Neurospora crassa OR74A: one gene and its partner. The protein of the gene in region 1 interacts with the protein of each later gene in a pairwise test. Links are inferred from orthologs where the notes say so. Each region holds a gene or a part of one and is shown on either strand. Other genes may lie near its edges. The genes, in order: trp-2 and trp-1.

Region 1 (4,469 bases):
ACCTTTCGTTTTCGAGGCCCATCCGTTGGAGATGACGGAACTTTGGATTGATCTGATCCAGCTTGATCTTGTGGCGTGTCTGTTGGGTCTGGATCTCGGAGGCGACGGCGCTTTTGAGGTGCGCTTTTGCGGATGCCCTGGGATCGGTTGCCTGTCAAGGGCTGACCTCTCTGAGCTCGAGTGCGGACCATGATGACGACCCCGGACGGCAGGGTGCGGACGTGGTTAGGTGGGTGTTCGACGATAGAGGATGGAGCGGCAAATGGCTTGCCACGTTGTAAAAGAAATGGGGAGATGAGTTGGTTTGAATACTACTATGCAGTAGCGGCATGTTGTTCGAAGAATGCAAGATGAAGTTTAACGACGGAATAGAATCATGGGCGCGAATGAGTGGCCAGCCCAAGGCGCGTTCAAACCCGGGACCCACTATTCCCGGTCGCGGCAACCGAGCCAGTACATCATGTCAGGCTGTGATGTGGTCTCACGTGTGACAAGCTCGCCCTGACAAAAAAGGTGGCACCACTAGTTGCTGCGTTGACTGCCCCTGTAGCACCCGAAAAAGTGTCACCGTTCCAATCACCTTACACCTTTTTTGGGGGGGTAAATTAAAAAAACAAAGAGATCTTCTCCTATACGTTAACCGATGCAATACCCGCCGCTGAATAGGAGGGTTATATGTCTCCAGTATCTCGGCCTCGTTAACTATCTTACAAAGGCGCCTTAGTCCCGGTGCGGCGGGAAGACGGGCGCTTACAGTGTATACCCCGGAAAGCGGAGTGTTAGCAGGGAGAGGCCGTTGGCCGGTTCGCTTTAGCCAGTCGGGGAAATAGGAGCCGGGGAAAAGAATTCGGCGGCCGCCGAGAAGGGAAGGGTATATCGATGCTCATGGGACAGTTATCGCCGACAGGGTGGGACGTAGGACAGAGCAGTGGACTTGGCAGACAAGGACACCGAGTTTCACCCAGACCACACCTATCATGGGAAGGCTTCAGCCTGCAGCTCAAACATTGATTCACCTGGTATCCTGTTTTGACTGAGCCTTCACAACACACACAAATACACCATACTCGCAATTACGCCCCAGCGCTCATCGTCTGCAGCTTGTACTGCTCGTCGCCCTTCTTCCTCTCCTCCTCAATGATTTCCTGCACCGACTTGGATCCCGTACTTTCGCCGTAGTACTTCTCAGCCAGTTCGATGCAGCGCAAGTTGGCGGCCAACTTGTTCATGGTCTCCATCCACTCCTCCGTCTTCTCACTGTCAAATACAATACCACCGCCCGCCTGTAGGTAGGCAACCTTATTCTTGACCAACATGGTGCGGATAGCAATGCAGGTATCCATCTGTCCTTCGCTCAAGAAAGTGGTAACAGGGGCATCACCCTCACCACCTTCGACGCGAATGACATCATAGGCGAACCAACCGGCAGCGCCAGCGTAGATGCCGCGCTTCTCCTTCTCCAAGTCGTAAATCAGCTCCATGGCACGAATCTTGGGCGCGCCCGACACGGTACCGGCGGGGAAGATGGAGCGCAAAGCGTCCCAGCGGGTGCACTCGGGGCGCAGCAGACCGGAGACCTCCGAGGTGATATGTTGGACGTGTGAGAAACGGTCGATGCGCATGAGGCGGTCGACCTTGACGGTAGACGGGTGGCAGACACGGTTGACATCGTTGCGGGCCAAATCGACCAACATGACGTGCTCGGCGCGGTCCTTGGTTGAGGCCAGCAGCACGGCCGCAAGCTCATCGTCCTCCTCCGAGTTGAGGCCACGCTTGATGGTACCGGCAATGGCGTGGTTGACGATCCTGGGACGAGAGCGGGCCTCGGCAGCACTATAGCCAAAACGGGTATCCGTGGGAAGGTCGGCATAGCCGTCGGTCTTCATCAGGCATTCGGGCGAGGCGCCAACAATGTGGAAGTCAGAGCACGAGAGGAAGAAGAGGTACGGCGAGGGGTTGAGCGTGCGCAGGGTCCGGTAAATGTTGAAGGGGTGCAGGCTGGTGCTGCGAGAGAAGCGCTGGGATGGGACGGCCTGGATGATGTCACCCTTGACAATGTTCTTCTTGAGCTCCGTCACAAAGGTCTCGTAACCGTGGCGCCCAACGTTCGAAGCGAATGTCTGATCGGCGACGGGAGCGCTAGAGTCCTTGGGCGGGAGCGGCGTCTCTGGCTGGTTGATCACTTCGAGTGTCGAGCGAATGCTGTCGCAAGCCGCGTTGTAGGCCGCCTCGAAGTCGCCGGAGGGGTCCTCGGGAAGTCGGACATGGGTGACGACGGTGAAGGCGGAGGAGAAGTGGTCGAACGCAACCATGGTATCGTAGAGCATGAAAAGGGCCTCGGGGATGTGTAGGTTGTCCTTGAGTTCGCGACCCTTGACCGTCCTGGGCTCGAAGTACTTGATGCAGTCGTACGAGATGTAGCCGACAGCGCCGCCCGTCAGCTTGGGGAGTCGGAGGGAGGGGATGCTGAGGACCTTGTCCTGGCTGAGCTCCTGCTCAAGGGCCTTCATGGGATCGCCGACATCTTGGTAGCCGGGGCCGGTCTCGAGGACCTTTCGGGGGTTGGCGCCAATGAAGCTGTAGCGGCCGACAGTCTCGGTGCTGCCAGTGGCGCTCTCGAGGAGGAACGAGTACTCAGCTGTCGCTCTAGCCGAGTGAGTCAATTGAGCTATTCGGAACGGGACACACGGCGAGGGGGAGAGAGGTTTGGGAGGAAGACGCACCCTGCGGAGAGCTTGAGGTAGATGGCCGAGGGCGTCAAGAGGTCGGCAGGCAAGGAGATGCAGAGGGGGAGAAGGGTGGGCCTTGGGGATGCTGTCGAGGTCGCTGATGCTTGGCATGTCTGGTCGAAGAGCTTGCGCGCGTCCTCCAGGGACGGCCTGATGTCGAGGGCAGCCATCCTGAACAACTGAACTGTAACGTCTAAGCAAAGGAAGGCAGAAACGGAAACAGGAACAGGAGGGGATTCCCTGGGTGGAATTGGCACAGAGACAAGTGGAAAGAGTCAGTGGATGGATGTCAAAGTGACAACTGAATGAACCGGTCGCGGAGGAGACGGGACGCCATCGATCGCAGCCGTGAAAGTGGCATGCTTCCACTTGCCCTCCAACGCTATACATAATTTTACACCGCCTGCCGCGTTTGGTGACTCACGGAGTGGGGCTTCCTGCCAAAAGGTGCCGGAAGGGCGGGGTTTGTTCCTGGCTGAACGCAACCTTGACGGCCGATAAGCCGATAAGCCGGCATCAAAGGTGTACATCATGCACCAAGTGACGCTGTTAGTGTTTTCACATATTGCACTGCCTCCTGCTAACGATTAGTGTCTAAGTGAAAAGTCGCTGTATTGATGTTATTGAAGGACTGTTCCGGCTTCTATCCAAGACACCAGTGTCTGTTCATTATTCATTACATGTTATTCTGTCCGGACACTATACAGTTTAGGGAAAGAATATGTTCGTATCAATCAGTCATCAATTCGTTGCCTCGTCAATCCGTTACGCATGGCGCAATGCTCTATCATCCTAATTGAGCTTCTCCTTCCCATACTCCCAATCAGCTTCCATTCTTCCCCTTAATACCTCGAAACACTAACACTGCGACTCCGACTCCTCCTACTGCTCCTCCCCCTCCGATCATCATACACATGAGTCGGGTAGGCCACCACAACCGGCACCTCGCGCATCGAAGACGACCTCCTCGAATGGCTCCGGTGCCTAGAATGACCCCGATGATGGCTATGCGAATGCCTCGACCTCGATCGTGAGTGTCTCACCCCGCCCACGTGTCTGGGCGGGTATTCATCCCTCACGTCACCGTACCAAGCCTTGCTGTTGCGCTTGCCGTGTGTCGGTGGAGCGCCCAGGTTGAAGCAGCTGCGGATAATCCAGATGAGAAGAAGCAAGCCGACGATGGAGCCGATGACGATGCCGGCAATGGCGCCGCCGCTGAGGGTTTGCGCGTCATCAGGGTCGTTGTCGTTGTCGTTGTCGACTTGGACGAAGGTTACCGTGGCGGTGGGCGGGGCATCTTGCCGCCGGGTGATGGGGCTGAAGGTTCTTGTAGGGTGGATGGCTTCGACTCCTTGGAGAGCTGGGTGTACGATCCGTTTGAAGACAAAGTCTTGGAGTTTCTCGGCCGTTGAGGCGGGTATGCGTGGGAGTGGTAGGGGAGCCATGGTTGATGGTTTGTTTTGACTCGCGGACTTGGTGCTCTCGCTTCTTCAATGTGATGGAATGTGAAGACTGTTGTGAAGACTCCCGAGTATAACAGGCGGGTGAAGGCTAGTTATAAGGGTCCTTCATCTTGAAGAAATGTGTCCCTGGCATCTTAGGAACCAATGTTGTTCATCATGTCCATACATGTTTGCCGGCTTTTCAATCTCGTCTTGGTAGAGATTGGGACCGGTGATGTAATTGTACATGATGGAGGGCATCTTGCATCTGCCGATGATATTTTTGACTCGTTTCTTG
Region 2 (4,449 bases), on another chromosome or scaffold:
TCTTCCATTTTCAAGATGAAGAGTCCAGGAGTTGCTGTCTCGTTGCTGCTTTGTCGACAAATCAGCAGATCAAAGCATTGTGGTGCGGGTGGTGTCAGGGTGTGGAAGTCCATAGTGTCTGTCATTTGAACACTGAGGATGTCCCGGTATGAATCATGACAAAGAATAAGGGGTCAGTCAGTATCCCCCCCAGTCTTCTCCAGCAATCCATATCAGTTCTGTTCTGTCACATTCGCATTCTGAGTCGTCAGAACCATGAACATAATCACAATTCCACCTTTTGAGAACCCATATAGAGATACCGAAAGAAAGAGACTTGATTTTTGGGCCTTAACCGCACCGTAAGCTTTTTACCTGACAGACTTGGCAGCCTTAACAAACTCCCTGATCTTCTCCAAGCTCTGCTTGCCTCCCTCCTCAACGCCACTGCTAACATCAACACCAATCACCCTCTCACTCAGAGGCCCCAAAGATTTTACCGTCTCGACAACATTGCTAGGCTCCAATCCGCCCGCAAGCAAGACGGTTACCTGCTCATCCTTCTCCAACTCCTTCTTGACAGACTCCAAGTCCAACAACGTGCCGGATCCAGCGCCCGAATCCAGCAGGGGCACGGCATGGTACCCACGGGTCGCAAGACCGACCTGGCCGGGCTTGAACTTGCGGACAACGGGGACTGGAATAAGGTTGGCCCACTCGAGCGGCTCGTCACCGTGGAGCTGGACGATATCGAGATCGTAGAGATGCTGCTTCTCGAGCACCTCCTCAAGGGGCTGGTTCATGAAGACACCTACCAGCAGAGGTCCCCGCTTGCGGATGATCTCGGCGTTGATATTGAAAAAGTCCCTTGCGGACTTGGAGGCTTGCGAGGAGACCTCGGTGGATCCGGTCTTCTTGCTCATGTGCACAGCCTGGGAGATGGAAAGGGCGGTCTCATGGTCGACGCAACGCTTGGTGCCTGGCACCATGATCATGCCCACAAGATCAGCACCGGCCTTGATGGCTTCCGCAGCGGCCTCGGCAGAACGGGTGCCGCAGATCTTGACAAGCAGCGGCTCGGCGGCGGACTTGGGCACGGGGCCCGTCAGGCCGGCGCAGAGCTCACGGATGAACTGGGTGGCATCAGGGGCACGCATGATGGCCTCGCCGACAAGAATGCCGTTGACACCGTCGCGCTTGCAGTCAAGAACATCTTGGTGAGTGTTGATGCCGCTGAGAGCGCAGAGGAAGGTGTCGCTGGGGACCATGCTACGGAGACGGCCGGTAGTGCCAAGGTCGACTTCGAAGCTCTCGAGATTGCGGTTGTTGACGCCGATAACCTTGGCGCCGAGCTTGATGGCTGTGGCCATCTCCTCGGTGTTCTGGACCTCGACTAGGGGCTCCATGCCGAGAGACAAGGAGTACTTGTATAGGCGCTCGAGGAGCTCATACTCGAGCATCTTGACAATGAGGAGAACAGTGTCAGCACCGGCAAGTCTGGCTTCGAGGATCTGGTACTCGTCAAAGATGAACTCCTTGCGCAGGACGGCGGGCCGGTTGGGCATGCCGTTAAGGACCTGACGGACAGCACGGAGGTCATCGATGCTGCCCTTGAACCACTCTGGCTCGGTCAGGACCGAGATGACACTCGCGCCGGCAAGCGCATACTTGCGAGCTTGCGACGGAGCGTCAATATCAAGCGCAAAGACACCCTTGGAGGGAGATGCCCTCTTGATCTCGGCGCAAAGAGCGACATCGAAGGGGGAATTGCGAAGACGGTCGACAAGAGAGATTTGAGGAGGGGCGATGCTCAGGTTATAAGCGGCTTGGAGGTCAGAAGGTCTCAGGGAAGGAATCTGCTTCTGAGCATCCACAGCAGCCTTACGGTGGGCGTAAATCTTTTGAAGGATGTTGCTCTTCTTGGGCGTGGGAGCGTCGGACTTTGTGTTGGCAGCCTGTGCCTGGGCGGCCTTTTGCAGTCTCTCGTTCTCCGCCCAAGTGCCTCCCTGCATGTGAAGGAAGTTCCGGAACATGCCACGACCCTCAGCAGACAGAATACTCTCCGGGTGGAACTGAACACCCTCAATGGTGTACTCCTTGTGGCGGACACCCATGATGACACCCTTGGAACCGTCCTCCTTCGCAATCCAAGAGGTAACCTCCAAGCACTCGGGAAGGGTGACATGAGTACCGGCAAGAGAGTGGTATCTCGTCACTGGCAGATCCTGAGACAGACCGGCATATGCGCCCTTGCCGTCGTGGCGCAGAGGAGAGGTCTTTCCGTGCAGAATCTCACCGGCGAAGCACACGTCGCCGCCATAGACGTCAAAGATGCACTGCTGGCCCATGCACACGCCAAAGATGGGGATCTTGCCGGCGAAGTGCCTGATGGCATCGCGCGAGATACCGGAGTCGGTGCCGGGATGACCGGGCCCAGGGCTGATGACGAGCTGGGTGGGGTTCTTTGCGATGAGCTCGTCGATGGTGATCTGGTCGTTGCGGAAGACGGTCACCTTGGCGCCCTCGAGGACGAGGTACTGGTAGACGTTCCAGGTAAACGAATCATAGTTGTCGATGAGGATGAGGTTGGAGGCGGTTGGCACCAGGGGCGAAGGAGCGGAATCGTGGGGAGAGTGGTCGACGACTGAGGAGGACGACATTGTGATTGGACTTGTGAGAGTGCCGTGCAGTATTGAGGGTGTTCCTGAAGGAGTCCGAGGTGCAGCAGCTGTGGTGTAAATGCCTGAGTGTAATTACCAAACGAAACACGAATGAACCCCGAGACGCCCGACTTCGGATGCAGTAACTGAAGTAGCACTACCTACAGCTAGTTGTGGACAAGTACTGTTAGTATCACTACTCCATGAATAGAAAGACTCTTTTCGTTGTTGTGAAATCAGAATGACGAGAGTCTACAATACGTACCTGGCTATCTGAGCCTGAAGCGATTCACAAGTGCTTGCGCAAGGTGTCTTTTGTGAGTGAGTCACTTGCACTTTGTTCGATGTTTAGGCGTGAGTTACTTTGAGCTGTGTATTGTACAATGTATGTAAATTCCATCCATGAGAGATGTGACCGAGGAGTGGCGTTAGAACAACCGTTTACAAATCACCTCTCAACGCTGGGATGCAAGTGGCTCTCAATGGCTCAATGGCTTCCCAAAACCGACATGAATAAGTATTAAAGCGGATGTTCGTCTACGAGCTTTGTGAGCTTCACAGTCCCCTTACCTCCAGCCCCCGTTTTGCGAACTTGTATCAAGAACAAAAAGAAAGAAAGAAAGAAAGAAAGAAAGAAAGAAAATAGAGGGCCCAAGCGTCGCCGTCATTCCGTACAAACCGCGCGGTGTTGTTCTGAATGTTCCGTTTTGAAACATTGAAATCCCTTATCTCTTATCGAAGAGAGAGGCCCCACCAAAAGTGGAAATTCTTACCTAGACATAGGTGGTACACTCACTGACGGGACTGCAGTGGAGTGCTCTGTCGCAAAAAAACACAGTGGGAATTCTTTGGTCCCGCGCGTGGTTCTGGCCGCCCGATTCTTCGACTTTGGCGGGAAAAGCGTTGAAGCTCCCGCGCTGCTGCTGCTGCTGCTGCTGCTCACAGGTGCCCTGCACACAACACCACCATTGCCAGCCGCGTCAGTCAAGGAAGGAAAGCGCGTCAAGCAAATACCACAGCAGAGCAGCCAAGCAAACTGAAGGAACCCAACCTACCAACCAACGGAATCTCGAATCCGCCCAAAATATTTACATCACAAACAATCCGTCCTGTCAACACCCTCTCCCACCACATATTAGCAGCCGCCATATGACAGAGACTCGGGTCTGGATCAAAGCTCTACGGTAGCTTTCCCATCCGGTCGACAGTTCGTTTCACTATACATCATTGTCTCGTCCATCTTCATCGAACGTCGACCAGAAATACCCGACGACCACACGACGGCAGCGACAACGACGACGACGACGACGACCCCGACGACAACACCGCTTCTCGAGGGAACCTTTTCCCACCAATACCCATTCTCCCAAATTTGGTCCCGGCCGCTGATGGAGACCCTCATCACCAATGGCCTCCTTGACCGATAAGACATATTTCCCTCCGCTGGAGGAGTGTTTGACGGGCAAGAACATAATACTGTCCTGGAAACTCGTCGCTTCTGCCCTTGCCGACCAACAGGGCGATCGCATCACCAGCAATGCCGTCTCTTCCTTTCTAAAAGATGCCTACGTCCAGCACCTGCTCAAGAACCCCTCCAAGACCTTTGAACCTCCGACCTCCAAGACGAAAGCCGACTTCGAGACCAAGACCGCCGCCATCAACGTGACCCAGACGCCCAACGAGCGATTCAATATCAAGACCATCAGGGACGACGCCATATGGCTCAGCACCAATGTCAACATCAGCGAAGTTGCCGCCCTGCGCATCGTCGTAGTCGAGTTCCAGTCGCGCCCACAAGCCCACCTCGTCG

The links.
Region 2: the proteins of trp-2 (region 1) and trp-1 interact in binary tests that used the Saccharomyces cerevisiae proteins (3 or more experiments, as listed by UniProt). The link is inferred for Neurospora crassa OR74A from reciprocal best matches to the Saccharomyces cerevisiae genes TRP2 and TRP3.

The regions. Positions count from the first base shown.
Region 1 is NC_026506.1:3,652,771-3,657,239, forward strand, and holds trp-2 (anthranilate synthase component I), read right to left. Parts: upstream 3,069-4,469; 5' UTR 2,900-3,068; coding exon 2,724-2,899; intron 2,647-2,723; coding exon 1,074-2,646; 3' UTR 566-1,073; downstream 1-565. Other genes in the region: NCU05130 (hypothetical protein), read right to left, coding at 3-191; NCU17136 (hypothetical protein), read right to left, coding at 3,572-4,174.
Region 2 is NC_026503.1:2,982,696-2,987,144, reverse strand, and holds the start of trp-1 (anthranilate synthase component II), read right to left. Parts: upstream 3,092-4,449; 5' UTR 2,905-3,091; intron 2,887-2,904; exon of another isoform or gene 2,807-2,886; 5' UTR 2,640-2,806; coding exon 351-2,639; 3' UTR 1-350. Other genes in the region: NCU00199 (hypothetical protein), read left to right, coding at 4,047-4,449.